Caenorhabditis elegans: one gene and its partners. The gene in region 1 interacts genetically with each later gene. Each region holds a gene or a part of one and is shown on either strand. Other genes may lie near its edges. The genes, in order: let-60, sos-1 and let-23.

The links.
Region 2: of let-60 (region 1) and sos-1, changing one enhances a phenotype caused by changing the other (phenotypic enhancement), as found in Caenorhabditis elegans (2 studies listed by BioGRID, with this or other methods).
Region 3: of let-60 (region 1) and let-23, changing one enhances a phenotype caused by changing the other (phenotypic enhancement), as found in Caenorhabditis elegans (2 studies listed by BioGRID, with this or other methods).

The regions. Positions count from the first base shown.
Region 1 is NC_003282.8:11,682,820-11,693,459, forward strand, and holds let-60 (Ras protein let-60), read right to left. Parts: upstream 8,270-10,640; 5' UTR 8,259-8,269; coding exon 8,130-8,258; intron 7,435-8,129; coding exon 7,240-7,434; intron 7,183-7,239; coding exon 7,012-7,182; intron 6,287-7,011; coding exon 6,227-6,286; 3' UTR 5,408-6,226; downstream 1-5,407. Other genes in the region: ZK792.5 (Nucleolar protein 9), read right to left, coding at 2,258-2,362, 2,414-2,533, 2,580-2,771, 3,339-4,568, 5,008-5,298. UniProt on the Caenorhabditis elegans protein: GTP-binding protein with GTPase activity. The level of let-60 controls the switch between vulval and hypodermal cell fates during C.elegans vulval induction. May stimulate the guanine nucleotide exchange factor (GEF) activity of rap-1.
Region 2 is NC_003283.11:4,543,604-4,553,684, forward strand, and holds the start of sos-1 (Son of sevenless homolog), read right to left. Parts: upstream 5,689-10,081; 5' UTR 5,677-5,688; coding exon 5,557-5,676; intron 5,505-5,556; coding exon 5,418-5,504; intron 5,308-5,417; coding exon 5,221-5,307; intron 4,270-5,220; coding exon 3,967-4,269; intron 2,514-3,966; coding exon 2,262-2,513; intron 324-2,261; coding exon 1-323. UniProt on the Caenorhabditis elegans protein: Promotes the exchange of Ras-bound GDP by GTP. May regulate signaling pathways downstream of receptor tyrosine kinase, egl-15 and let-23.
Region 3 is NC_003280.10:9,192,232-9,202,528, forward strand, and holds the start of let-23 (receptor protein-tyrosine kinase), read left to right. Parts: upstream 1-5,280; 5' UTR 5,281-5,286; coding exon 5,287-5,416; intron 5,417-5,752; coding exon 5,753-5,773; intron 5,774-6,025; exon of another isoform or gene 6,026-6,114; coding exon of another isoform or gene 6,115-6,229; intron 6,230-6,709; coding exon 6,710-6,777; intron 6,778-6,957; coding exon 6,958-7,116; intron 7,117-7,201; coding exon 7,202-7,355; intron 7,356-7,405; coding exon 7,406-7,624; intron 7,625-7,786; coding exon 7,787-8,053; intron 8,054-8,120; coding exon 8,121-8,237; intron 8,238-8,324; coding exon 8,325-8,415; intron 8,416-8,822; coding exon 8,823-9,172; intron 9,173-9,230; coding exon 9,231-9,360; intron 9,361-9,407; coding exon 9,408-9,629; intron 9,630-10,297. Other genes in the region: twk-4 (Potassium channel domain-containing protein), read right to left, coding at 1-15, 583-667, 1,912-2,064. UniProt on the Caenorhabditis elegans protein: Tyrosine-protein kinase receptor which, upon binding ligand lin-3, activates 2 signaling cascades: the let-60/Ras and MAP kinase signaling pathway and the let-60-independent phospholipase C-mediated Ca(2+) signaling pathway.

The DNA of each region.
Region 1 (10,640 bases):
TCAAGGACTCACTCTTGAATGTGCACAAACGAGCACAAAAAGTGAACGAATTGGAACGTGCACAGACAAAAAAATGAAAAAGTGGAATAGAAGAGTACTAAACCGAATTACTGTTTGAGAGGGAATGTGTCTCTGTTGACATGCGCGACACAAGAAAAGACTTACAAATATTGAGCAACTTCAAATAAACACAGTTTTGAGCACAAATCAGACGAAAATATATTTTTTTGAGGAAAATCAAGAACTTATTTATGGTAAATTTGAAATATACTTGACTTTAAAAATTGAACATTGATGTGAAATATCTATCTAAAAGACTTGTCAGAAAAAAATTTCTTTGAATATTGTTTGCACAGTTCTGAATTTTTTCCAAGTGTATTCTATCTGGAATGTACTCTAAGAATATATATATATATAAACTTTTCAGTCGACATATTTTTTCATACAACAAAAGAAACTCGAGATATCAGCGTTCAAACCTTAGAAGTGGTAGTTAACGATGCACCATGTATTGAAAATTTACCTTACATTAATAGCACATTTTATTTAGAAATGAGCAAAAAGTATTTCACAACCAAACTGTAGAAAAAAGAAATAATAAATATTTTTCAGTTGAAAACACACCTTTTAACACCTTCAAATAAATCTAAAATCTAAAAATAAGGATAATAATGCGTTCCTCAAGCCATATGCACTCCAGAACTGGAAGTAAGGGTGGTGCTCCTACTGGCCTTTAACTTAAGCTACGTCCGAGCCGAGGAACTGTGACCAAGGGTGAAAAAGATCAAGCTAAACTTTAACTATATTTCAGACTCGAATTGAAGAGTTTCACACATAATGGTCTATGGAAAAATATAAATTTTCGAGCAATCAGTTAAAATATCTCTATTCAGGTTTCCGTAGAAACTGTAAGTAATGAAGTGTAGAAGAAGCATGCACCTTCACCGAGAGGTAAGAGTGCGGCAAAAGTCAAAGTTAAGAGGGTGGATGTGTATGCTATTCTCTCCCTTACTTCATTTCTCTCTCCTTCCGTGATCCGACCGGTATTTCACCTTCCCCCGTTCTTCTTCGCGCCGTTGACAAATATTACCGTCCGCACACACATATCACTCGGCACAGAAAAAGAGTTGAAGCATTGCGCAACACCTTTCGAGATTTCACATGCAAATGATCACCCAGCTGCTACTGATGCCACTTGATGTGATATGGATCATGTGCTAACTTTTTAGGAGTTCGGGATTTCTATACAAATGGCTCCAATGCATTTCTGAAAAATGAAAAGCTTCTGGGATCTTGTGGAATCTCAACCCTCGCTACTAAAGATTCTAGAGAAGCTTTGTGCCATATTGTCAAATCTGTTCCTTTTTCTCAGGCAAAAAAAATCCCATCTGACACAGGAGTGGGATTTCTACAATTCTACAAAATATCCTACCATGTTGTTCCAAAAATTTTAAGCTAAAAATTAGTGTAAAAATATAGAAAATAACATTAATTTTAGCCAATTTTGCATGGTTAAGATCGTGCTGACGTCACATTTTTAAGGGAAAAAACCCCGTTTTTTTTGTAGGTCAACCCGTGATGGGACAACCTGACACCACGTGTAATCGGCAATTTGTAGCTATCGCACGTGGTGTCAGACTGTTCCATAACGCTATGATCTACAATAAATGCGGGAATTGAAACGCAGAGTTTTCAACTAGTGTCGAACGGTTAAGAGCGTGCTGACTTCACACTTTTCTGGGCGAGAAATTTCCGCATTTTTCGTAGATCATGCGGTTATGGGACAGTCTGAGACCACTTGCTATCGGGTAATTTTTAAACACATTTTCAAATGTTTCACTTCAAATAAATGTTATTTTCGAATGCGTTTCTATATTTTTAGACTAATTTTTAATACATGGAACAACATGGTGCATAAAATCATTTTGTAGAATTAATTATCCGGCGACAAATTTCAGCTACAGAATTTCTGATCATTATGAAAATTCCGAATAGTAAGAATTCAACTCCCTTTACCAGTTTGTTCTCAAACTTAGAGTTCTTACAAGTTTTTAACGGCGAAATGGCTTTGGAATTCCCTTTTTGTTTGCCAAGATTATCAGATGATCCGGTAAACCAACAAAACAAATTTGTTTCCTTGAGTTATAAGCCACATAAATTCCAATTTTTTACTCAATTCAATAAAATCGTATCAAACATTAAGACCAAAAATTCAAAACAGAACAAACAACATCAACAGTAACAACAACAAAAATAATTAATTCTTAGACTTTTTCATCTTTTCAACCCAATCTTTCCGGCTTTTTCTGAACAGGTAAAGATCGCAGCGAAGCATTGCAAATTTCCAGAACTTGGATGAATTCTGAAAACGAAGAAAGTGAATTATATATTTTTGTTACAGAAAAATGCTCACATGAATTCCAACAAGAACTTTCATGATTTCCTGCTTGCGCTTTACGTCTACAAATTCCCAAATTTTCTCGAAAACTCGACTTCCGAAAGTATCAGTGATAAGCGTCTCCCAAGAATTTTTCTGAAAATTTTACAATTGAAAATTTAAATAAACATTGTCAAATTACATCAAAAGCACCAATAATCTTCTCTTTGATCTCTTCTGGCATAGTCTTACTAGCCAAAACAGCTTGAATCAAACGAGAAGTGTACTTGTTACATGACATTTCTTGAATTTGTTGCTCACTGAGTTGCTCAAAGCCAGTTGCCAATGTTTTCGTTTTTGAGAAGTTGACAAGTTCTGAGACGAGCATTGTACCCTGGAATTTATTTATTTAAATTTTATAATATAGAAAATTTTGATTGAATATTGGGGGAAATTTTGAATAAAACTGTAAACTAAAAAAAAATTCTGAATTAAAATTTTTTTCTAATTTGTGAAAACAATTTAAATGGCTGAATTATTTTTGATATTTTTTAGTATTTTTTTTTAGTATTTTCTTTGATTATTGTTGTGAAACATAGAAGAAGAAAAAACACTTCAAGCCAGCTTTTTTTGCGGAAAAATTTCTGAAAATTGAAAAAATCTGTTTCACATAAATAATCGAAGAAAAAAAAAAGAATAAACCCCAACTAGCTGAGGTTTTATCATAGTTGAAACTATTACCGACTGAAAACGGAAAATGCCAAATCTAAGGAATTCAAAAAAAAAATCAACCACATGAACGTTTTTTAATTAAGAAAAGTTAAAAATTAAGTAAAATTCCAAACATTTTTTACAGTTATTCTCGTTATATCAACACTTTTTTTTGTTATTTATAGAAATAGTCCACTTCCAAATCTATTTTTCAAATGATTATGTAGAAGTCGTATACGCTATAGCTAACCTTTTGTGTGAACTTCTGAGTATCGAAAATGCTTCCATCACATCCATTCAAAGTAAGCACGTTGAGTAAAAATTGTCCTTTCTTTGCCTCTGAAGCTGCGCGGAAATATTTTCTCAGTTGTTGAAGCATGGTTTTCTCGGATGATGGATATCGTGCAGCACATCGGATAACCGAAAGGAACACACCAGAATTCTGATGTTCAAGCAGAGAAGAACACTTTGGAGCCATTGTTTCAATTATTTCAGTGACCATTTCCAACGATGTTGAGCTATTGATCATTTTTTGAAGAGGAAAGTTTGAGAATCGATTATCTGTCAATTCGTCAACATTTTTACTGCAAAATTCAATCCATAAAAGACTTCGAGCATCTTCTGAGCAAGTTTCCATCAGCTTATCCCAAACACGAGATCCATTTGATGAATACCATGCCTTCGAGATTCCTTCAATATCTTCCTTTTCGAGCTTCTTCTTCACATATTCATCACCTCTTTTGTCTCCCCAAAGCCCATCGGCTTCAATAAAATCTTGAAATAGTGTCACAAAAATCGGAGAATCCATAAAGGTTTTATTAAGATTCTCATCGAATGCCAAGATTGCAAGTTTTTCATAAACATTCTTCAAGCTAGCCTTCATTTCTTGTCCTTTGTAATTTCTTTTCTTTTCCTCTCCAACCTTTGGCCTTGCTGACAATCCACAACACACCCAGACAATAGCTCGAATCAGAAAACTCGAAGGTTGTGTTGTAACAGCATCCGCCCAGTTATCCATAAGAATTCCTGCTAGTTTTTGAAGAATCTCCACATGTTCTGATTCGGCGATTGGGCACATCGAGAATATCAAATTTTCAATTGTCCTAGCACTAGCTCCTCCGAAAATCAGCTCAGCTAATGTTTTATGCTTGAGACGAGAAATCGATGAAAGGAAGAGAGCTGCTCCTTTAGGACAACTTCCAAATACAGATTCAACAACAACGGCTGCTTCTGTCCACGAGAGAAGAGTTTTCTCCTGGCCAACAACTTCTTCAGCACACTTTTCCAGAATAAAATCTTCAATTTTTCCCTCTTTCTTCTTGATTTGTTCAATACTTCTCAGATAACCAACAATTTCTTTCGGAAATTCACGACCATCTCCATCTGGTCGAGAGTCGTTGAATGAAGCCGAATCAGCTTGTCCGTAGCTATCCGGTTGTCCTGAATTCGTGTCATCACCGCCGCCAACTCGACCGTATTGCTGTAAATTAAATAAATATATACGTTTTTGTGGTAATTGCCTAGGGAGCGCTTTGGAGTTCATTTTATCGATTCTTCACAGAAAAAAGTCTCAATATATCGAATATAAATTTTTTAAAATTCAATTTCAAAAAAATACTGAAATATTTGTGAATTCCCGCGCTCATTTTTTCAGACAGTTTTTCGGAAAGAAACCTCGAAAATCCGAACGAAATTCGATAAAATGAAATTGGTCTAAAACCTATAATTCCACATTTTGAACAATTTTTGTCCAGGAAAATGACTAAAAAATTCAAAAATAATTCGGCTTTTTTTTATTTTTTGCAAAATAATACAAATTTTAGAAATGTTTTTAACTCGACATATCGAAACTTTTTCTGTAATTTTGAGTTTAAAAAGCCAGAGACGCTACATCACTCACGACACCATCTGACACAAACCTTCTCAAAATCTCCGGCACTGAATTCTCTGTTACCACCGAATCCTCTTCCACCACCACCACGTCCACCTCTATCATTTCTTCTAAATCCACCATCTCCTCCTCTTCCACGACCTCCTCCACCTCGATTTCCACTTCCAAATCGTTCATTTTTGGCTAGAAAAGTTCTGAAATTGTTTCTCTCCTCCTGTGGCTTCTTCTCAGCATCAGCAGCAGCATATCCGTATCCTTCAAATGAGTTTTTCGCTGGAGGATTCTCATCAGACTCTACATTTTTCCTTTTTCTCGTCATTCTAATAAATTAAATTTAGTTTTTTTTAAAATCATGCTCCGATGGCGAGGTCAAAATATAACACTGAAATTAACAAAATATAGTTGAATAGATTTAAAAAAATAATATTAGCTTTTTAAAATTTATATCATTGCAATACTTCCTTGAAAATAAAATAATAATAAAAACTTGATCAAAAGAATAGGAATATTATATTCAGATAGGACTATAAAATGTAGAGGAATAGAGAAAAATGAATGCAATACGAGGGAGCAAAAACTTTCAGATGTTCAGAAAATGTATGAGAAATGGGGTCTAATTGTATCTATATTATAGTTAATGAAAGAGAAATAATTACTTGACAAAAATGAGAGGAAACAGAGAAAAAATAAACGGAACGACCGGCAGATGCAAAAGAATTTAATTTTCAGAGAACTTCTGAAAATAGATGAGGCCAATAATTTGTATGAAAACGAGGAAGGGGAATAAAGCATCAAAAAAGCAATACAAACATTCTGAAAATATGCAGAGAAAGTGAAAAAAAAATGGTGCGATGTTTTTTTTGGTAGAGTTGGCCAATTTTGGAACGAGGAGGGGGTTCGGATGCATGTTTTAGATATGGATCACACACTACAGCTAGTTTTGACACCTATGAATGAATGGAGATTTGGGCTAAGCGAAAGATGAGGAATTAGAATGAAGGATGAAGAAAAAAAAGGAGAAAAAATAATGACGAGCAGACGAGAGAACAAGTTCAATCGATGCATAGAGAAAAAAAGGTGGAAATTCGAAGAGTATGTAGAGGCGGAAGAGGATCGATCACAAGTTTCAGATAAAACAGATAAATGAATAATGAAAATGTACCAAAAAAGTACGAGAAAGGATAATTGGGTGGGAGTTGACACGACTGAAAATGAGTTGGCGAAATTGGGCAATTCCCGACGCTGAATCACATTATTTGACACTTCTTCTTCTTTTGTGGCTTATTATTGTCGTGACGCTCACGATGCTGAAATAAAAAGAAAACATTATTAAATCTTTCGGATATCAATCTAGGGTGTCATCAAAATTTTTTTTAGAAAATTAACAATAAAACTCAATTTTTTATCAGATTTTGTGCATGCTGGTGAGAAAAAAAACAAAAGAAAACATATAATTTTCTTTAAAAATTAAGAAAATGACCAAAACTTTGAGCTTTTGTTTCGAAATATCGGAAAAACTTACATTTTTCGTTTTTAGTGAAAAATGGAAACTTGAAACTGTTGATAACAATAATAACATTTTAGAGCTTTACAAAACAGAAAATTTTTAAAAACAACGTTTTTGTATTACTCAAATGCAACATTTGGCGATTTTCAAATTAAAGATGCGGTGCCCGGTCTCGACACGATGAATTTGTGTTAAATGCAAACGTATGTGCGCCTTTAAAGAATACAGTAACTTTAATATTTCGTTTCTGGGGTAATTTTCACCGATTTATTAAAACTGCTGTGTTTTTAAATATTTTTATAATATCGAAAACTTAAAAAAATTGATGAAAATTCCGCTGTAACGACAGTATAAAGTTACCATAATATTTGAAGGAGCAAATCGAACAGACCGGGTGTCGTATTTTTGGCGCGAAAATATCAAAATCTCGCGTCTTTCAATTTTCATATAATAATGACTGAATTTGTACCTTAATTGTACATTAAAAACATTATTTTTAATTTAAATTTTTAACTAAAAAATTACCTTGCGAATTTCTCTAACAAGTGTGTAAAATGCTTCATCAACTCCCATACGCGTTTTGGCAGATGTGTCGACATTCGGAATACCGTAACCCTTTGCTGTCTCACTGACTGTTCGGAAGTCGACTGATCGAGATGACAAATCACATTTATTCCCTACCAAGACCATAGGAACCTAGAAGAAATACAAATATTCAACCATTGACTGATAATTTCAACAAAAAAAACTCACATCATCTGAATCCTTTACCCTCCGAATCTGCTCGCGGTAGTTAGCGACATTCTCGAAAGATTTAGCCTCGTTGACGGCGAAAACCAACAGAAATCCTTCGCCTGTCCTCATGTACTGATCACGCATCGCCGAATATTCTTCTTGTCCGGCGGTATCCAATATGTCGAGGAGGCATGTCTCACCGTCTATCACAACCTGAAATTAGAATATTTAAAAACTAGCTCTCGGAGCAATTTTTAAAACTGAAAAACTATTTTTACTGGTTAAAAACTCAAATGAAAACACTGAAAATTAGGGCTCAATAATATTCTGAATTTCAGAGTTTAAAGATGAATATACGTTTAAAAAAATTTATACTCCTCACACGACACGAGCAGGCATGCTGGTTTATCGATTTGCTTTAAAAAAACAAAAAATCTAAAAAAAAGTTTTGGGCCCTTTCTCAAAAAAAAAGTGAAATTTCTGTTTTTTGTATAAAACGTAAAACGGAATGTAATTATTGAAATTCGTCTGAGAAATATCGATTTTGGAGTGTTTTCAGAATTTTTCCGGTTTTTGCAAAAACTAAAATTTTCGGTTTTCCAATTTTTTTTTGTGAGAATTTTCGGGGGACAATGAAAAATCATGATTCGAGCCATTTTTTTCAGTTCCAGCCATTTTATAATGTCGTGTCCAAAACACGAAAAATTGGTTTTTTTTCGAAAATTTCGGAATTTTTCGTGTTTCAGCACGATTTATTCGTCTTTGGAATCAATTAAACAGCTCGATGTGTTTCAAAAAACTTCCAAACTTCTGACTCATCGTTTTTTTGTTCAATTTCAAATGCCATCATTTTCGTTCAATTTGCTCCCACCACATGTGTGTAGCGGATGTTCCCAATGATTTCTCACCTGCTTTCTGTAGCTGTCCTCTATGGTCGGGTCGTATTCTTCGACAAAGTGATTCTGGATGAGTTGAATGGTGAGTGCTGATTTACCAACTCCTCCATCTCCAACTACCACAAGCTTGTACTCCGTCATTACCCTTTTCTGAAAAAAGACGCATAGTTGAATATGGAAAAATGTAAAATAGAGATGGAAATGAGAAAACGAAGTGGAGAAGGATTTCTGTGGGAGCACTGCCAAAGAGCAGCTCTGCCTATCGGCATACTCAGAATTCCGTTTCTTTTTTTTTTCAAAAAAAAGTTTCGATAAAGGAGAGTAACTACCAGGAAAGAAATAAAAAACCGATGATGACTACTTGAGAATAATTGAGAAGATAGAAAAAGAATGAACTTTCCTGTTAATAAACTAGGTGGTGAGTCGGAATGAGTAACTATTTGAAGACGACGGAGAATGAGTCATTACAATTTGAAAAAAAGAAGAATTCAAATAGTTTGAGTAATTTTGAACTTTAAAAAATGGGGTAATGCAATTATTAAAAAAAAAACCAGGAGAAAAAAGGTCTTCACTTCATCAAAAATTGATTTCAAAGCGATGAAGAAAAAGGGGGACAATATAATGTTAAAATCGGTGAGACGGCGGACAGTGGTGCGACCCGACCACTTATTGTCGCTGACAAATGGCTCGAATCGTCGTTTTTTTTCGTCGGTTTCTTTTCGGTCGCCCTCAGTGTCGAGTGGGTCTCTTTCATTTTTCTTTTTCACTTTTCCAATACAAAATTCTCCGATCTCTCGTTAAAAGATTGCAGAGATTGAGACGTAGAGAAGTAAAGTTTTCCTGACAAGCATTTTTCACAAGGAAACAAATAAATTTACGAAATTCAGTTAGAAAGTTTTTAAAAAAACGTTCAATTTTACTTTGTTAAATATAAATTGTTTAAAGAAGTAGCATGTTTAAGAAACAATGATTCCCGTAGGAACTATAAGCAAAAACTGACAAAAAAGAATAATGAACTTACGAAATCACTCATCTCAACTATTTCAGAAGTTGAGAGATGAGAGATAGGAAGGAAAAAGAAGACGTTAGGATTAGTAAGACCGGAAAAGAAGACTGCCCCTTCTCTCACTCTGCATTTTTTTTTCTTCCACACTACTTTAATCCTATCACACAATTTGGGATGCGTTGCTCCATCTTTTCTATCTTCTCATTTGGTTGAACCAAGGAGCGGGTGCGTGCCTAATAAAATGGATTAAGCTAAAGACGAATAGAGAGATGAACTCGGGAGGAGAAAATAAATAGGCAGAAAACGCTTCAAGTGCAAGATTCTGAAGAATTCTTCTTCCTTCTGATGATGGAGACGAGAAATGAAGTTCATAGGAAAAGAAATCCGAGGCTCTGGAGTGCACAGAAGCACAGAAACCACACACTCTCTCTTTCTTTCTTTTTTATCTCTTTCTCTCGCACCCCCCATACACACACACAAAGTAAGAGTAAAAGATAAAGGAGTGCGGTCCCCACCATGCCGCTGCTACTGCTGCTACTGCTACGGCGGGACAATTAGAGAGCACTAGAAACGGTGATGCATAGACACGAACGACCGCGACGCGACAGCCGCTACGCTTTTGACGGTTTTGCGACGACTGTTGGGAGAAGAGACAAGAAGTGAGCGTGTGTGAGACGAAACAAGTGTGATTTGTAAAAGAGAAAAAGAGTGAGAGAAAAGAACTGTCCACTTTCTTTTTGTATCGACCCATCCCTATCTGTTTCTGACGATAACGACGACGACGAAGGATGGTGATAACGATGAATTGAATTATTTAATGGAACGCATGCAATTTTCGTTTCTAGCAAAGGCGGTGGTCTCTTTTTGAAAAAAAAAAACTATTTCCGCCGACGTTAAGTGCTTGAGATTCTTTCTGTCCAATTGAAATCCTCTAAAAAATAGTTCAAGAATTTGAGGAATTCGATTCAAATTGTCTAAGTGCTTTTCTTTGAATGTCCAGTAGATTTATATTTGAATTTTCTTTGTTAATCTACTTTGGGAATTTCTAAAAATGTTTGCTCCCAAATAATCTAGAATAACTTAGGATTTTTAGAAAAAGTTATGACATAACTGAGACAAAAAGAATTACAAATTGCATGAAATATGCCAAGAACGAGAAAACTTGATACTTTTTGAACAATTTTTGCAAAATATATAATTATCGTGGTATTTATTTAGTTTGAAAATAGTGGTGTCAACAAGAAATGACACATACTTTCCAGTAGAATTTGATATTAAAATATATTGAAATGAGCAACTAGAGGAAATGAAAACCTGAAAACAGATATTTCATTATTGAATTTTCGAAACGGTTAGTTTTCAACTAATCTAACAGTTTTATAAACTTCAAGTTTTCTCAAAAATAATATTAGATATGCAAACTTTTTTCAAACATGGCTTCGATAACGTCTTGAATTTTCACAAAAAGTCACATTTAATTTGGAAATTCGGCATTTTTTCCACAGACTTTTCCACAG
Region 2 (10,081 bases), on another chromosome or scaffold:
AATCGAAAACTTTGTCCATCCAACGAGCTTCCCAAATAATGTTCTCCCGATTGGAATAACGAGGCGAATCGTTCACTTTCCAGCAATGCTTTAATATTATCATTAATCACATATGTCGCGTGTCGTGTCTCATTCATTTCTCCACCATCTCTTCTTATATAGAATGTATAGGTATCGAATTCATAAGCTTCTCCGTGCTCCCAAATTCCCATTCCAATACATTGAGTATCGCTGAGCTCGATGGCATCTTCGAGGGTTCGTTCGATTTTCAGAGCAAGATCGTGGATCTCAGTGAGATTTCCGAACAGGTTGCACACGATTTGCTGGAAAAAGTTTAGGTTTTTTGGAGAAAATCGGAAATTTTCAGGATTTTATCAAATTTTTTTCATACTCACTGCAACTTTTTTCGAACAAGGGCCGAGAAAAAATGCGAAAAATCGGTGTTTGCACACAATACACCGCATTTAACGACATTTTCTACTTGCTCTGTTTGCTTGTGTTTTTCACCGATTTTTCCCGTGTTTTCTTAATAAAACTGATAAATAAATATTTTTTGCTAATGCTAAAATAATTTCCAGATGAAAAAATTGTGAATTCAGCCGGCAAGTAGCGGTGAAAGTGGTTTATGTTATATGATGGATTACGGGAATACCAAAACTAAACTTTTTCTGAAACATGGTATATATGCTTAAAAATGCTGAAACTACCTGATTTTCATAACGAGACCGCTGAAAAAGTTTTGAGATTTTCAAAATTCAACTTTTTTGGTGAAAAAGTCGAGATTTTGGCACAAAATGTTGAATTTTGAAAATCTCAAAACTTTTTCAGCGGTCTCGTTATGAAAATCAGGTAGTCTCAGCATTTAAGCAGCATATGTATCATGTTTCAGAAAAAGTTTAGGTTTTGTATTCCCGTAATCCATCATATTGCATTGCCCACTTTCACCGCTGCTTGCCCACTGAATACATGATTTTTTTACTTGGAAATTGTTTTAGCATCTGCAAAAAATATTTATTTATTAGTTTTATTAAGAAAAAACGGGAAAAAGCTGTGAAAAACGAAAGAAAACAGGCGGAAAACAAAGCAAGATAAATGGCCGCTGAAACTTGTCGGCCCCTCGGCCATGGCCTAGAAACCACTTTTCCTCGTCCCTCGTGAGGAAAAAGTTGCAGTGATACTTCGGAAACACAAAATTCTGAGAATGCGTCTTGCACAACATATTTGACGCGCAAAATATCTCGTAGCGAAAAAGAAAACTACAGTAATCCTTTGAATGACTACTGTAGCTCTTGTGTCGATTTATGGAGCTCGATTTTTTAAAATTCATTTATTTTCGGATAGGGGGTTTTTAAAAATATTATATTTTAATTAATTTCAAAAATGGAGCCCTTAAATCGACACAAGAGCTACAGTAGTCATTTAGTCAGGATTACTGTAGTTTTCTTTTTCACTACGAGAAAATAAGAAAATATATAATTTTATTTGAAAAAAAAACGAAAAATAGCCGAAATTTTGAGCTATTTTTCAGAAAAAATCGAAAAACCAACATTTTTTGTGGGGATTATTTTTTTATGTAATGTTTTTCGGAAAATATATTTTTCGCTTGGAAACTGACTAAAAACTCGAATTTTGAAATTTTACACTTGTTTTCGAAAAAACTTTAAATATATACATTTTCGTGTTCAAAATATTTAAAATTCAAATTTACAAAAAAATGTTTCAATTTTTTTCGTTTTTCGCTTTTTTTGGCCTTTTGGCAAATTTTTTCCGTTTCCATTTTCGGAAAATGTTTTTTTTTAATTTTTTGCGATTTTTTTCAATTTCAGAAAAACGACCATATTATTTTTGAATTCCCGCGCAAATAAATTATCTTTTCAATACATTTTTGAATTTTCCAGCTATATTAACTGAAATTTTGTTAAATTCATCGACATATTTTTTTTAATTTTCAGAAAAAAAAATCAGCATTTTTTATTGCAAAATTGGAAAAATCACAAAATTTCGTGACTTTTTTTCCGTTTTTGGGAGAATTTTTCGTTTTTTTTTTAGTATTCGCTTTGTGATCAGCCATTTTTTTTCGCAAAATTGGAAGAAAAAATTTTTCAAGTTTTTTTCAAAATTTTGCCAAAGTTTTTAACTTTTCGCCATTTTTTTTGTTGCAAAAATAAAAAAAAAACATTTTTTAAAGCAATATTCGTTAAATTCAGGCTGATTTAAGACCAAAATTCGTTTTTTTTTGTTTTCGAAAAATCATTAAAAACCTTATCAACATCCGTCGCCGCAACCGATTCGATTCTCCGTCGAAATACATTAATCCTATTCAATTCACGAATAAATCGTCTCTCATCTCTCAAAAAATCAACAGCTACTGATTCATATGTCTGACTATTCGATAGGGTCTTTTCTTCAGTCTCTTCGGCAACAAATTCCTCAAATTCCGATAGAAAACCAAAACCGCCGGGAGATTCGGCTTCCTCCTCGTTTCGAAGTTTTGTTCGGAGCTCCATTAGGGCCTGAATTTTTTTTTTTAATTTTTTCAATAAATTTTTTGAGAGCTTTCTAATTTCCAGTTTGGCAAACATTGAATAACGGAAATTTTTCGGCAAAAGTTGAAATAAGTTGAAAAAAAAATTTCATATTTCACCGTAACATACACGTAGTCAAGTCAGGCTGTCCCATTACGGTTTGATCTACAAAAAATGCGGGAATTTTTTCCTCGGAATAATGTGACGTCCCGCCTTTTTCGGAGATCAAACCAAAATGGGACACTTTGAGACCACGTGCAGATACACGTGGAGTCAGGCTGTCCCATTACGGTTTGATCTACGAAAAATGCGGGAGAAGAGACGCAGAGTTCTCAACTGATTTCGCATGGTTAAGAGCGTGCTAACGTCACATTTTTTCTGGGAAAAAATTCCCGCATTTTTCGTAGATCAAACCGTAATGGGACAGCCTGGCACGAAGTGGACATATGCAATATAATTTTGAGATGAAATTTATGAAAAAAGAGAATTTGAAACAAATTTAGCCAAAATTGGCCAAAAACCGATAATTTAATCTTAAAATTATACCCTTTTTCCAGAAAAAAGTCTGAAAAAATAATATTTCCAATTATAAAACAGAAAAAAAACAAAGAAAACCCAATTAATATATCGTTTTTCGGCAATAATATTGCCGACGGCTATATTAATTAGATTTTCCTTTTTTTTTTCTTTGCAAACAAGTCTAATTATCGATTTTCAGGTCAATTTAGGTCAATTTCAGAAATTTCTGGGATTTTTTTTTTTTGAATTTTCGCTTCAAAATAACCAAAATAGTCTCAAATTCGGAAAAAAATACACAAGAAAATCGTGAAAATTTTGGCTAACTTTGAATTCCCACCGCAACGAAAACTGCACAACCAATCAGCGCCACCAAACTCCGCCCACTCCATCTGATTGGTTGAAGAATGGGCGGAGCGAATCGCTGATTGGTCGCAGCAGTCAGGGTTGTAGATTTTGCCGTGTTTTTGGCGAAAAATGTGTTTTTTTTTGTTGCTTTTTTTTCGAAAAAAAGATTGATAAAAAGCGGAAAATTCTGATAAATTGAAAAATATAGAAAAATATTAAATTTTACATAAATTCCAAAAAATCACACTCGAATTTTTTTTAATGCAATTTTGGTCAAAATAAGCAAGTTTTTTTTTAAAATAACGTTATAAACTGAAAAATGTTTATTCTTTTCGCTTTTTTGTGTTTTTTGGCGAAAAATTTATTATTTCTTCGTATTTTTCGGCGAAAAATGTTTTGTTTTCAAAAAAAAAATTTTTTTCTCGTTTTTCGATTTCGAAAACAAAATTGTGTTTAGCTAAAATTGCGATTTTTTTGGTTTTTTCTGAATTCAAGACTATTTTTATTTTTATTTTTTCGAAGCAAATTTTCTGCTGAATAGGTTTTTTTTATATTTTTCTCCAAAAAAAAGCAGTACCTTATCCCCGTTCATCGCCACATCAAGATTAGCCATCGTAATCTTTTGCTCACTATTTCGAATATTTTTCACATAATTTCCAGTCAGCCTGAGCACATCTTCAGTAACACTTTCACATGCATAATAAATATAGCATGCGATACGTTCGATTTCCTTCTTTTCTCGATCTTTTTTCTCTTTTTCTCGTGGTCCAAGTGTTTCTTTGATGACTGCTGCCAGGCGATGTTGGCTTTCTAGAACTGTTTTCAGGGCTTTTTGATATTTGTGCTTTTGGAGTTGTTGGTGCATGTTGTCCCAGGCTTCCTGCAAATTTTGAAATAATATTTAAGAAAATTCGAGAAATCAGAAAAAATACACATTTTAGGGGGAATATTGCTCCGAAAAATTCAAAAATAGTCTCAAATTCTGAAAAATCCAAATTTTAAAATCACGAAAATTTTCGAAAGTTGAATTTTTCAATATTTCGTGGTTTGTTCATTTTAATTTGTGGTTTTTCAGAATTTTAGAATTTTTAAAAATATTTTTTTCCCAAAGAGTATATTTCATTTTTCTTGTATTTATGTTAGGTGGAAAACGTTTTTTTTTGTTGGTTTTTTCACCAATTTCACTACTTTTTTAATATTTTTTTTGTCCAAACCCAGATTTTTTAGGCAAAAAAAAGAAAAATTTGTATATTCATAAATCACCAAAAAAGATCGTGATTTGATTTTCAAAACTATTCATTTTTTGTCTTTTATCCTGAATATTCAAGTTTATGGAATTCTTTCCGCTTTAAAATATTTTATTTAAAATGTACTACGAGAACACAAAAATCTGAGAATGCGTATTGCACATATTTGACGCGCAAAATGTGTCGTAGCGAAAACTACAGTAACCCTTTAAATGATTACTGTAGCGCTTGTGTCGATTTACGGGGCCCAATTTTCGAAATAAGCTCCATCGCTTTTAATACGAAAATCGAGATCTCGTAAATCGACACAAGCGCTACAGTAGTGATTTGAAGGATTACTGTAGTTTTCTTTTTCGCTACGAGTTATTTTGCGCGTCAAATATGTTGTGCAATACGCATTCTCAGATTTTTGTGTTCTCGTAGTACATTTTAAATAAAATATTTTAAAGCGGAAAGAATTCCATAAACTTGAATATTCAGGATAAAAGACAAAAAATGAATAGTTTTGAAAATCAAATCACGATCTTTTTTGATGATTTATGAATATACAAATTTTTTGGAAACATTTTTTGAAAATCCCTTACTTTACAAACAGTCTGCAGACCGAATGCGAACAGCTTTTTCGCAGTTTTGTCCACTTCGACGACACTTGTGGCACGTGCTTCGATGAGCTGAAGAGGGGAAAGGATTACAAGGTCAAGAAATGCACAGGGGGAATTTATTAATATTAATTTATTTGTTAGATTTGAAAAAAAACCGATATATACATATATATATATACCTCAAAAACGATACTTTGCAAAAAATATCGAATGTGCTCAACTGCAGCATTGTCAATCGGGAGGCCAGGATGTACGATATTGCATATCTGAAATTGAAAAATATTATTGAATTCAGGAAATATTCAAATATATACAAACCTGATAAATTCTTTCATCAAAAATAGCCGCCCAATGCTTACTAGTTGATATTGTTCGTCGGCTGGTCAACGAGACCGTATCCGATGATGCCGAGTGCAGTGATATGCTCATTATGCTCATTTATATGACCATCTGCAATGAAATTTTGAATTATTTAGGAAAAAATATATTAGTGGGCCAACAATAAGTTACGAGTTAAAATTCATGAATTAATAAATTCTTACGCTGACAATCGATTTTTTTTTAAATTTTCTAATCACCAGAAGTACCTTAAAGTGAACAGAAAAAAATATTTTAGCATATACCGTCAAATGAAAAATTTCCGAATTTTTTCAATTTATTTTGTTTAATAAAATTGTTTTTTTTTTCGTTGATATATGGAACATAATCCAATTCCTCGAAAAAATTGGAATTTGCCGGAAATGTTTAGAGGGATTTTTATAAGATGGGAACATTTAAAACTGCCCCTTTTTTAAATTTTTTCTTACAGTTCAAAACAGACGTAGGAAAATTCATAGGATGCGTACAATTTCGCCGATTTAGATTGAAATTCTGAAATTTCCAACAAAAAAAGAAGTGCAAAACCACGTTTCGCCGAAAATTTTCGACAATTGCCACTTTTCCGGTTTATTGCCAATTTGCCGGAAATTTCAATTCCGGCCATTTGCCGCTTTGCTGGAAAAAATCGGCAAACGATTTTTGCTAACTTTCCGGCAAATCAACATTGCCGGAATTGACAATTTCCGGCAAATCGGCAAACCGGCAAATTGTGGCCTTGCACTTTTTTTTTGGGAATTCCAGAAGTTCAATTTCAATCAGCAAAATTGTACGCATCCTATGAATGTTCCTACATCTATTTTGAAAAGTTAGCAAATTCTATGAAAATATCTAAAGAAAACCGGAAAAAAATTTCAAAAAGGCACAGTTTTAAGTGTTATGAAAAATATAAAAAAATATATAAAAAACCCTCATTTTTCTGGCAAATTGATATCCGGCGAACGGCAAATCGGCAAATTGCCGAAAATCGAAATTTCCGGCAAATTGGCAAATCGGCAATTTGCCGAATTTGTGGACAAGAAAATTTGCCAAACCACAATTGCCGGACATCCCTGGCTGGTAACATAAATTCCGGCAATTTCAGAAAAAAAAATCTGCATGCAAGGAACGAATTTATATATTTTTTTAAATTTTCACTTTTGCAAAGTTTATTTAAGACAAAAACTATATTGACGAGAGCGAGAAAAGCAAGATGGAGAAGAAGGAGAAAAGTGTATGATGGCGATGATGATGATGATTACAACCCGCAAAAATAATGCATGGAACAACACACACACTGAAAAGAAGAAATAGAAGAAAAGATGGAGTGTGATGGAAGCGTAGAGGTGACAGACAAGCGGACAGAATGATACGGGATGAGAACGGGAAGCGGGGGGTTACCCGCCGGCGGCTGCTGACGAAATACTGCAGGAATCTGTGAGAGATTCTAGAGAAATGGACACCCGACAACGGCCGGCCACCATCTCTCACCACGGCCTTGTTCTATTCGAACCAGTTTGATCTGTTGAGAAGACTTTATATATTTATTGATTTGCAGTGCAATCAGTAGCCCCACCTAATCAACACAAATACACTACTTCAAGGTCGACTCTTTTTTGATTCTCGTTTCGATTTTTTTGAGGTCAAATTCGATCGAATTGAAGAAATTTGAAAAGTAGTAGAGATTTTGGTTATTTTGCTTGAATAGACCAAAACTGACTGGATATCATAATGAGACTTTTTTCTTAAAAAAAAATCGAAAAAAAAGCCGAAATTTCGGCAACTCTTGCTTATGGCAGCCTCTGGAATTTTACTTACAGTTTTTATTAAATTATCACCCTTTATTGCATACTTTTATCGTTTATCTCATGCTAAAAGTGGTGTAGTCGATTTTTTATTTCGATTATTATTTCTTGACTAAACTCAAAATAGTCTGAAAACACCGAATTTTATAATGAAACATCTTGAAAACTTGTTTTAAAAAAGTTATGGTGGCTCAAAAAATGGCCTAGGTTTAGTTAAAATTTGAAATTTGACCGACTTCTCAATGTCGCAGCAGCTGGAAACAACTTTTTGTTGAAATCACTATATCTATAGAATAGTTAATTATCTTGCGTGTTTTCAACTCGATTTAGGTACTTTAAAGCTGAAAACGCAAGATAATTCACATCTGTAACCAAAATTAGACGAAAATTTCAAAAAAAAATTGTTTCCAGCCGCTGTGACATTGCCAAGTCGGTCAAATTTCAAATTTTAACAATTTTTAGGTCATTTTTTGAGCCGCCATAACTTTTTTTTTGAGAATTTTCAAGAAGTTTCAGTATGAAATTCGGTGTTTTCAGACAAGTCCGAGTCTATAAATCAATAAAAAAAATTCGACAGCACCGTTATGGGGGGGGGGGGGTTTTTTTGCTGAATCAGACTGAAAACGTCCAAATTTCATAATGCGATTTATCCAGAAAAAAAACATCTCAAAAAATTGAAAATTCGGAAAAAAAGTCAACTTCGGACCGCTGCAACATGGTAAAGTGACCAAAATTGGAGATTTTAGCTAAAATTTACCTTTTTTTTTAATTTCGAACCGCCATAAAAAATTTATGACAATTTTATGAGAAGTTTCATTTCGAAATTCGTTTATTTTTGGCTTAAATATGCAATAAAGAGTCATAATTTAATGAAAAGTGAACTCCAGAGAGAAAAAAATTTGGCGAATTTCATACTATAACAAAATTTTGCTCTTTTTTCGGAATTTTAATTTAAAAATCATGATTTCTCGTGGGAAAAGCGGTAAAATTCACACACACACACACACACACACACACACACACACACACACACACAACCTGGTCGGCACAAACAAACAAATGTGTTCAATTATGACAAAGAACTGTACGAGCAAATATGCCGAAAAAGGAGTGGCAGGGGAGGGTCAGGAGGGTGACATAATGCGGTGAGTGGGAGCAGCCATCTGTCAAGAAAAGTTATTTGTTGTTGGTTTTTTGAAAAAGTTTGAAAAATAAAAATGTAAAATTTGAGGAAAACACTGTTGTTGCAAGCACGCCCTATTGATAGATGGATTTCGGCGCGGTAAGTGTGGATTATTCAAATTTTATGCTTGACCTTCGTACAGGAATTTGGCCTATTTGCCACAAAAATGTTTTTAAAAAACCTGATATTTAAAAATATTATGGAATTTATCGGTTTTTTCTATTAAAAAATAATGGAAATAAATATTGGAAAAAATAAAATTTGAAAAAAAAACGTTTGGAACAAAAAAATTCCATAAAAAATCCTTTAAAAAAGTAAAAATAAATCTAAAATTTTAATTAATTAAAAATAAATACCGTATACCCACTCAATCGTTTCGAGACCCAACGATGTTAAACAAGTAAGCGCCTTTGTTAAATGGTTACGGTAAGTTGGAAAATTCATTTTTCAAGTTTCATGGCGCAAATAATAGGGCAAACCCTCATTTACTAGCATGCTCATTTATTTGAACGCTCAATTCCTAACGATGGCTCAATCTCTTTGACGCTCATTCACTAATGCTTTCACTTTCGCTCGTTTACTAATACTACACGTGTAGTCAAGCTGTCTCATCGGTGTTTTTCGGTGTATTGGCCGCAAACACGCGGCGCACAAATTGACGCGCAAATGCAGACAAGCGGGCAGGATTTACGAGAGATTGTGATTTTATTGAGGCCCCACGAAAAGGGGAGCAGAACGAAAAAGGGATCTGCAAAAAGGGGATTTGCGAAAAGGGGAGATACGTAAAGGGGAGCTGGCACTGTGCCAAACGCACAAAACGCTTTTTTATTCTCATTCAACGCACGCATTATTTTTGTATTTTACGCTAAACAACGCGCGATGCGTAATAACGGAGTGTGGTTATAACAAAGTCGTGCGTTGAATGAGAATAAAAAAGCGTTTTGTGCGTTTGGCACAGTGCCAGCTCCCCTTTTCGTTGCTCCCCTTTTCGTATCTCCCCTTTTCGCAGATCCCCTTTTTGCAGATCCCCTTTTCGTTCTGCCCCCCTTTTCGTGGGGCCTCTTTTATTTTCTTCCATTCATTTAAAATATAGCTTTTTGCCATTTTTAAAGTTAATTTTTTGTTGAAAAATAAATAATAATTTTTTTTATCTCGCCGTCAACTTAATTTTCAGAAAAATATTTTTAAAAAATCGGGTGGAGGTGCAACGAAAAGGGTCTTGCCGGATCGATGAAATGGATTGGAGTGAAATAAACTGAAAAGTCGTGGTCGCTGATGAAAGTTTCGAGAAATCACGAAAAATGGATCGTAAATTTTGGAGAAGGAAAGGAAGTTTACTGCTGATGAGATCTCTGAAAAAAGGGTAAAGTTGAAAAAAAAGTCTAATTTAAATTCAAAGAGTGCAGTCCAGTATAGCGAGCGAAACTGCGCTCGCTTTTATTTTGAATAAACAATGAAATAAATTTTTTAATGCGATTGATATTAGAAAAGTTTTTCTCAA
Region 3 (10,297 bases), on another chromosome or scaffold:
GATTTGCAAGGAAGCCTGGAAACTATTTTAAATTATTGAAACTTTTTTGTTGGGGAAAATAAACATTCTAATAATGTTCTAATTTTTTGCTATAAAAACTTTCTAAAAAAATTTTCAATCTCTTTTTACAGGCCCCAAAAAAGAATAACACGTAAAGTCTACGTGGGAGGGAGAGAGAATGTTTGGATCCAAGTTAAATTGTTATTATTGAATTTTCGTAGTTTTTCCTTCTTATTTTAGGTCCACCATCTAACTTAGTTTTCGAGTTTTTTTAAAGTTCTGTGGACCTTTAGAAAAAGAGAATAATCTTTCTTTGTGATGAGGATGGAATGGTGTTGCCATAAACACTCTAGACCTGGTTCCACGCTGAAAAACCATTATTTTCTGAAATTTCAAAAGTTCATTCATTTACCATAGTAGGCTAGCAGCTCTAAAAGCTTTTAAATCTCCAACAGGAAATCAAGAAAAAATGAAAGTAATGGGAAACAATAGAAACAGAACAATATTTGGATATATATTGGAACAAATAGGTATTTGTGTGGTAAAGCATGTGAGAAACAACACAAACAACAATAAACAAACCTTGTTTGGGAGCGTCTTCGTCGCCACTGTTGTTTTCAAGAATCATGGCGTTACGGCGTCGCGCCGATGCCGTTCCAAAATGGATCTGCAAGGGATGAAAGCAATCAGACTAAGAGCAACAATTTTTGGTGGGAAGAAGAATGAAGGGACTCGGAAGGATCTTTCGAAATGGGAAATGGGTGGTCGCGTTGAATATTAGTTACCTAATCTAGTTTATGCTTGTTTTAAATTTCATTTGCAATTATGATAATGCTAGTCGTTTTCTGGGAATCGCTATGATTAATAACAATTTCCATAAGATGCCTTGCTACGTTAAAATTTGATCTAGTTGTTCAAATTTGGATCACAAGTGTTATGGGGTACCCTAAATTCATACAATTATAAAAATTTTCTGTAATTTTTTCTACATTCAAGCTTAGGATTACTGGATTTTTGTCAACTGATTTTTCAAACAGAAAGATCACAATGAAAAATCTGAATATCTTGGCAATATTTATTAAATTGAATGAATTGTCTTGAACTTTGAAATTAAAAATAGAAGCATTTGCGAACATTTTTAACCTTTATTGTCGAAAAGAAAAACATTCGGGTACTTCAAAGGACCTGAAGTTTAGAGTTCATAGAATTTTGCGGACCAGCGGCACCCGAAATTCCATCGCGTCAATTTGGTGACGAAAAATAGAAAAGAGGGTTAGTAAAAGTTGGAGGAGGCAACGAAATCTTCTTTAATCGTCGGCACCGGAAAACGTGTGAAAAGAAGTTTTAGGTAGAGACGTTGGAAAATGAAAATCTTTTGAAAATCCCCATTCATAATTGCAAAAAGGCTTGTTTGGTTTGCAAAAATAGACTCTGCCTTGCTCCATTGTTTGAGAAAATCGTTGGAACAATGTATTAAAGGTAATTACTGAGACTAGTGGAAATATAAATATTCCAATTTTGATAATTTACAGTAAAAATGAAAGCTGAAATGAGAAAAAATGTTCATCAAAAATTGAAAAGTTATATTCGTCTTTTGTCAATCTATTACTAATTTTTTTTCAGTTTGCTATAAGTCTGGGTTCGAAATTGCCGGATCATATTTGGACAAAAATAGGGCGATAGCTTTTTATTTTGATAGAACAGGTTTTATCAGTAAAGTTAAGTCCTTACCAACTTCTCCATAAAAAAATTTTTTGAGCAAAATTCGGACATGATGCAACGCTATTTAAAAAAAAGTACAAGACCTCAAACTTTGAATGTTTTTCGAACTTTTTCGGCAAATAATAGGAGAGTTTTAATGTTTTTTTTTTCAAATTTCTAGTACAATTTAAGAAGAAAAAAAATATTCACCTGATTCATGTTCCCAGCATCTGAACTTGGTGTCCTTCGGAGCAATTGCAAATGAGCCCAATCGCTATGGTTTCTAGAAATCAGTGCGGTTGTCGTCGGAGTGATACAGAAAGCGGACAAATGTCCGGCTAGAAATTTTCCCCGGGGATGCATAGTTGGTGAGAGTGACAAAAACTAGAGAATATAGAGATTGCTGGTGTGACAAAGTGACACTCTCAATTTGTTTTTCTATTTTAAAAAAGAATGGCTTCTGCTGAGGAGATGAAGAATTGGTAGAAATGTGTCAAATTCCGAGGAAATTCGATGAAATCTTGAGAAACTGCTTCCGAGTTTCAATACATTTTAACGCGTCGATGAACTCGTGGGATTGCCGGAAATTAGGTTCCTTTTCGGTTATTTGTAGAAATGGTTGCACTTTTGTGGCAAGAGTAAGGGAAAAATAAACAATTTCGGTGCATTTTTTTCATCTTTTCCTTTGACCAGAAATCTTGTAATAATGGGTAGCAGTAGAATGGGGGAATTCAAGAAATGTAAACATTTAAATGAAACATCAAATGTATGGATGAAATTTTAATTGTGACCACAGAATATACAAATTATAAAGTTGAATAGATCAAAAAAGTTGTTATTAAATTTTATGCATCTGCACTTGGGATTCACAAAACTTACATAGAAGTATCTGCTAACCTAACTCGGAAAAAGGATTTTTTTCAGAAAATTTTGGAACCATGGATTTTGGCAATTTGGAAAGATTGAACCCTTTCTCTTCGGGTTACCTCTGAAACTTTGAAAAATTTAATAACTTGTTCACACATCTTAAATATGTACGAATCCACATAACTCTGAAATTTCAGACTCCAATTTCCTTTCCTGCCGTGCCATTTGCCAACAAGTTCATATTGTACACGAGAGTTCACACTGAGTAATGATGCCAAGAAGAAAAGTCTCAATGAAAAAATCTATTAGTTGTGCCAATATTTGCGTAACTCATTCCCTTGTATTGCGCATAAATCAATGCTCCTACAACAGTCTCCCCTTTTTTGTATGAGGGGTTGTCTCTAACAAGTGAATTGACTTGACGCCCACCGACTTTTCTTAGTCAGGTACTTTACACCTTTTTTCATGAAGTTCGCGAAAGTGATTTCAATCGTTTTTGGTTTTTCTTGTGCACTTTGAACATTTCAACTAGATTTCATTTTGGGTCTCAAGCTAGTCTTTGTTTTACCAGATTACTATAAATATGTAACTATAAGGAGTCTTTTGAAAAGTTTCAAATTCTATCCGAAATTGTTACATAATGTACCTAAATTCACATTTTACGGTCCCCGAAGTAGTGAAACTGCACTGAAATATTTTCAGGTCGAAGTATTTTACAGGCTTCAAAATGGTCCACTGGTCCAGTCATCAATACCTTTTCCGGTCAGGTTACTGTAATCCAAAAATGCAACCTCGAACAAATGATATATGTTTATAGTCTCTAATACTTCCTTGACCTCTAAATACCTTTTCTTCTCCTCCTTGCCCTCAGTTTTTTCTCATAAATCTTCATAAACCCACTTGACACCTGGAATCTCTTCCCCTCCCTCATCATTTTCCAATCCTCCCTCACCTATACTTTCAATAACAAATTTTCTGCTCTTTTCTTTACGAAGAAATAGACAAAGTGACTCTGAGCCAAGCCACACAATCAAAATCCAATCATTTTCCACATGTTGATCTCCTCTTCGTTCATATTTCTTAGGCGCATCTAGGTGTTCAACCATATGGTAATTAGGACCGCCCGTGTTCTTCCCCACTAGCTGCCAACCGATGGCGGTATGACTTCAAAGGGAATGAAAATGAATCAAGAACCCTCATTCTTCAGTGTTGTTGCAAGATTGATTTATTAGTTTTGAGAGGTTTTTTTTGTTTCAATTAATAGATCTCCGAATTTTGCCTAAAATTTGAATGTATCCACTTTTTACTTTAAGATATTTATGTTAAAGTTTTCAATGAACATTTTTAATGCAAAAATTGTGGAGACATTATCTATTGTTTTTAAAAACATCAATGAAGATCCCGATGTAATTTTTTAGATTTAAAACGGTTTTCTAAAAGCAAAACGCCAAGCAAGCATTTGATAACCATTTGCACATAGAAATACGCCGCCCAGCCTTTTCCCATCAACCTATTCATATTCAAGTTCTATTTGTCGGGAGGTCCATTGAGTATTGTCCACGTTTATAAATCTATTATGATTCACAATCTAAAAGAGCTCAGAAATAAGAAAGAATGAGAATTAGAGAAGCAGAGAAGATGCTCAACAACCATCGTCTTCTTCTCTTCCTTATCAACCACCCACACAGTCCTGCTCACTTGCTCCTATCACTTTTTTCCTTGTACCGAAAGAAAAATATGAACAATTTGAAATACTGCTGACAAATTTTTGTGTACGACGTCAAATGCGTTTTGGCATGTGATTGAGGTTTTGATTTTTTTTGGTGTAAAATTCATTTGAAAAATAAATTCTTCGGACGAACCGGAAATTTTAAGCTTTTAGTTTCATATATCTTACTTACTTTTCAGCATATAAACTACAAAAACCTACAATAATTTTTCAACTGAAAATCGATCTGAACTCTTCTAAATTCTAAATTAAAAAATTTCCCGGATTTCCGCCATTTTCTTTTCGATATTTCTTAAAAGCATCTCCTCAAGTTTCCCATGCCGATCGTATGTTGTTCTTTCCTCTGATTCATAGATTTCAATTATAAAAGTGAGAGAACTTGAGAGCTCGAGACGTCACGCACAAAAGAAACCATTTTTCTAACTTCTCGGAGCAAGAGGTACACTATTTTTTAACGGCTCTTTTTTTTACAATAAAATTAGGACTGCGCAATCAATAAAAATTATTGAGTTCGTTCAGCGTTAAAAAAAATCAAAAAATTTTTGCAGAAATTTTGGCTTCAAATTTCAATTTCCACTTAAAATCCTTGTTAAGCCAGTAAGATGCTATACATTCAAACTAGGATATTAAACGCATACTACCCCAAACACACGAACTGTCGGAAGCTGTACCCGAAATTGTGTCCTCCAATTTATCTTCACACAATTTGACAGCAACTCGTCCATATTGAGAACTCGTCTCTGGGCCCCCCGATGGGGAATAGGTCGTAGACCACAAAAAGAACGTGGCGCCACAACACCAATAAAACATTTTTGTACGTTATTCTATGTATGGTTGAACTGTGTCGTTGTTGAAGAGTTTTAATCCCATCTCGCTCGCATCACCTTTTTTTGTTTCAAAAATCGCCTCCTTTACTGCCTATACCTCTCCCAATTCTCTTGACAATATCGACCAAAAACTGCATTACTGATGTCCAATTTTCATTTCAGATGAAGTTCCCTTTTTTATTCTTATTTTTAATAATCTTAATTGATACAACAATTGATGCGGCATCACCAACGTCAACACAAGGTTCAGTAACTGTACGGAGGAGGCAACGGAAGATTGTGGTGAGAGAATGTGAGTTGGCTTTTGGAATTATTACGTTTTCCATTATTTTGTTCAATTTGATCAAAATTTGAAAATCGTGAAAAATTGGATCTGAAACCGATTAGAGCGAGGTTATGAATCCTATTTTATTGGCTTGTCATTTTTTTGATAGATAAATGACTCCGCCTATATCTTGGTTTTTCTCAAAAAGATTTCTGTGAATACGAAAATTATTCCACATGAAATTGACCACCATAGTAAAAAACAAGCTTTTGGATTTTTATTAAAAGTTAAAATAATATAATGTTTAAAAATGCATTCCGAACAGGAAAGTATGTCTCAGAATTTGCAAACATTTTTTTAAAGGGAACCTAACAGATCCTAGTGGTGAGTAACCCCGTTATATCCAAATATAATTTCCTTTTCCCATTGTTTTTGTGGTATTTGTGATGTCCTCGTGATTTATCCAAAAACCCAATTAATTACTCTTTCCCCCACACATTCATACATAGAAATTTGCAACTCATTCCATTTCGAAGCACTTGAGAAGATGAAAAATGCTAGAATTGAGGCAAAAATGAAATGAAAATGAGCACACATTCAGTCTACTACTCTCTGTCCCGTTTTTGGGTATCACATGTATAAGAGGTAGAAAAGTGGTCATAGAAGAGTGAAAAAAAGGAAGAATTTGTCCAAGTTTTCTCACTATCTACAATTTTCTGGGAGGCATGCGATACCCTCCCTCTATCGGTTCAATTTTATTGATTATTCCTATTTTTCTAACATTTTTTGGAAATTCTAATGCACAGTTGTGGAAAAGATGTGTTTCACCTCAAGACTGCCGTAAGTGGATAAAATGGGAAATTGTCAACAATGGCAACTGATTTTTTTTAAATCATAGAATATACATATGCGATTTGATGTGTTCTTTCTAAAAAGTTTCAAGACATATACTTTAAAAAAATGTTCATTAAAGTAATACAATACTTTTTGTAGAAATTTAAATTTTTATTAATTTTGACATGAATCATGATATTTCGATTACAGAAAGTTATCAAAAGTTCATTACAAGTACAGTAACCGGTAGACACGTGAGAACTTTATCATTTAAAATGTCATTCAGAGGACAAGTAATCGGATCATCAAGAAAATTGAAAGGCTCCATTTTTTTCTTTTTTTTTGAGATAAGAAAAATTTTTAAAATAATTCTAGTTAATTTTTAGAGAAACTAGATTTTTTGAAACCAAAATATGCATCCCCTCTGTGAATTTTTCCTCTTTGAATCAAACAAAAACTTACACGAATTTCATTCTTGATTTTCAGTTTGTTCTGGCACAACCAATGGAATATCGAGATATGGAACCGGAAATATTTTGGAAGATCTGGAAACTGTAAGTTGTTGAATAGGGATTTATCTTTGATTTCTGCTGTTAAACCATACGATTAGAATTTTATTTTAAAAAAATTTAAAAAGTTCCGGATCGACGAAGTAACCATCCAAAACAAATAGTCAAATAGCCCCAGGCAAAACTAAATTTTTTGCCAAAACAAGGAAAAATGTCTTGATTTAGATGTACCGAGGGTGTCGTCGTGTTTATGGAAATCTTGAAATAACATGGATAGAAGCAAATGAAATAAAGAAATGGAGAGAATCGACGAATAGCACTGTGGACCCAAAAAATGAAGATTCACCATTGAAATCAATTAACTTTTTTGATAATTTAGAGGAGGTGAGTATGAAAACATCTACAACAATAGATGTATTTTCTACCAAAAACGTTTTTGCTTAAATCTTCCTTTACCTTTATTTTTCAGATTCGAGGAAGCTTAATAATTTATCGTGCGAATATTCAAAAAATATCATTTCCAAGACTACGAGTAATCTACGGAGACGAGGTTTTTCACGATAATGCATTGTACATTCATAAAAATGATAAAGTTCACGAAGTTGTGATGAGAGAGTTGAGAGGTTTGTTTGCTCAGCTTTTAGAGACATAGTATTTTATTTTTATTTTTCAGTGATTAGGAATGGAAGTGTCACAATTCAAGACAATCCAAAAATGTGTTACATTGGGGATAAAATCGATTGGAAGGAGTTACTGTACGACCCAGATGTACAGAAAGTTGAAACTACAAACTCACATCAACATTGCTATCAAAATGGAAAATCAATGGCAAAATGCCATGAAAGTTGTAATGATAAATGTTGGGGATCCGGAGACAATGATTGTCAACGAGGTTAGCAAAAAAATTAGACTAGACATAAGTTTTTGTTCATTGTGGCTGAATTTTTCAAACTTCTGAAAAAATTTAATTTTTGACACAGAACGATCAAAAGTTTCAAAATTATTTTAAAGAAATTATGTAAATAAAATTCACCAATATGCAGTATATTTTCAGTCTACCGTTCCGTATGTCCAAAATCTTGTTCTCAGTGTTTCTACTCGAACTCTACAAGTTCATACGAATGTTGTGACTCGGCTTGTCTTGGAGGATGTACAGGTCACGGACCAAAAAATTGCATTGCCTGCAGTAAATATGAATTGGATGGAATCTGTATCGAAACGTGCCCATCGCGAAAAATTTTCAATCACAAAACAGGACGATTAGTTTTTAACCCAGACGGAAGATACCAAAATGGAAATCATTGTGTGAAAGAATGCCCTCGTAAGTTATTTGGATAGAGATAAATGATGAATAAGCAGAATCCACAACTCACGAAATACTTTTTCAGCTGAACTTCTAATCGAAAACGATGTATGTGTTCGTCACTGCTCAGATGGTCACCATTATGATGCTACAAAAGATGTTAGAGAGTGTGAAAAATGCAGAAGTTCCAGCTGTCCAAAAAGTACGTTTTCTTTTTGAAATAAATCAATTTCAAGCTGCACTAATTCCTACAAAATCCCTAAAAGCTCAATAAATACAAAATTTTTAGTTTGCACGGTCGATGGACATCTGACAAACGAGACACTTAAAAACTTGGAAGGCTGCGAACAAATTGATGGTCATTTGATAATAGAGCATGCGTAAGTATTTCTTTCTTGGTTTTTGAGATCATCGTATAATCTTTGAGAATTTCGTTATTCAAAAACCAAAAAAAAACTGAAAAAATGAGATGATGAAGTGTGTGTCTAGAAGTACTTCAAAGCTTTATAGAATGGGCACTCACTTTTTCATCCAAAATGGCAGAGAAATGGGACACATTTTGGAATGAGGGGAAGGATTAGAACTGAAAGCAATTGCAACAACTCAACCGTATATAAATATTATTGTTTTATGATTCTCGCCGGTGACCCAACTCTTTTTGTTGTTGTTGCATTTCCGGTGCTATTCGGCAAGACTTAAAAGTGCATCTTTAGAGAGCTTCACTTCATTATGTTTATATTCAAAATTGAAAGATCGCTAATGATAACCTAACTTTTCAATTTTTCAGATTCACATACGAACAACTAAAAGTCTTGGAGACAGTGAAAATTGTTAGCGAGTACATCACGATTGTTCAGCAAAACTTCTATGACTTAAAGTTTCTCAAAAATCTACAAATCATTGAAGGCCGAAAACTTCACAATGTAAGATGGGCTCTCGCAATTTATCAATGCGATGACTTGGAAGAACTGAGCTTAAACTCATTGAAACTTATAAAAACTGGAGCTGTATTAATAATGAAAAATCATCGATTGTGTTATGTGTCGAAAATTGATTGGTCATCAATTATCACTTCAAAGGGAAAAGATAACAAACCCTCATTGGCAATTGCTGAAAATAGGGATAGCAAACTGTGTGGTAGGTTCATTTTTGAATGTTATCAAATAAAAAATATGTCATTTTCCTCAATTTTTAGAAACTGAACAGAGAGTTTGTGATAAAAACTGCAATAAACGTGGTTGTTGGGGCAAGGAACCAGAGGACTGTCTCGAGTGTAAGACCTGGAAAAGTGTTGGGACGTGTGTTGAGAAATGTGACACGAAAGGGTGAGCAAAATGTGTAGTCTGAAAAAGTAAATACCGCTTTGATTTAGATTTCTGCGCAACCAGACATCAATGAAATGCGAAAGATGTTCTCCGGAATGTGAAACCTGCAACGGTCTAGGTGAACTGGATTGTCTCACTTGCAGACATAAAACTCTCTACAATTCGGATTTCGGTAATCGTATGGAATGTGTCCACGATTGTCCAGTTTCACACTTTCCGACGCAGAAAAATGTATGCGAAAAGTGTCATCCGACGTGTTATGATAATGGGTAAGCTTCGGGTTTTTTTTCGATTTTTTAAATGCGTCTTTTCGAAAATATATACGCAAAGTAGCTATTTACGAATGATTTTAGCTACCGTCTAAGGTTAAACATTAATATATAAACATCATTACTTATATTTTATATAAAAAAATACAGTTCGTCTGTCCATAGTTTGTAGTCTATGTAGTCTTTGTAGTCTGTGACGTCACGCCCAAATTTCAGTGAGAATAGTGGGCGTGGCACCCTTCGTGGTGAGACCCATCGTGGTGAGACCCTTCGTGGTGAGACCCTTCGTGGTGAGACCCATCGTGGTGAGACCCTTCGTGGTGAGACCCTTCGTGGTGAGACCAATCGTGGTGAGACCTTTCGTGGTGAGACCCTTCGTGGTGAGACCAATCGTGGTGAGACCCTTCGTGGTGAGACCCATCGTGGTGATACCCTTCGTGGTGAGACCCTTCGTGGTGAGACCCATCGTGGTGAGACCCTTCGTGGTGAGACCCTTCGTGGTGAGACCAATCGTGGTGAGACCTTTCGTGGTGAGACCCGTCGTGGTGAGACCAATCGTGGTGAGACCCTTCGTGGTGAGACCCTTCGTGGTGAGACCCATCGTGGTGAGACCCTTCTTGGTGAGACCCATCGCGGTGAGACCCTTCGTGGTGAGACCCAAAATTTTG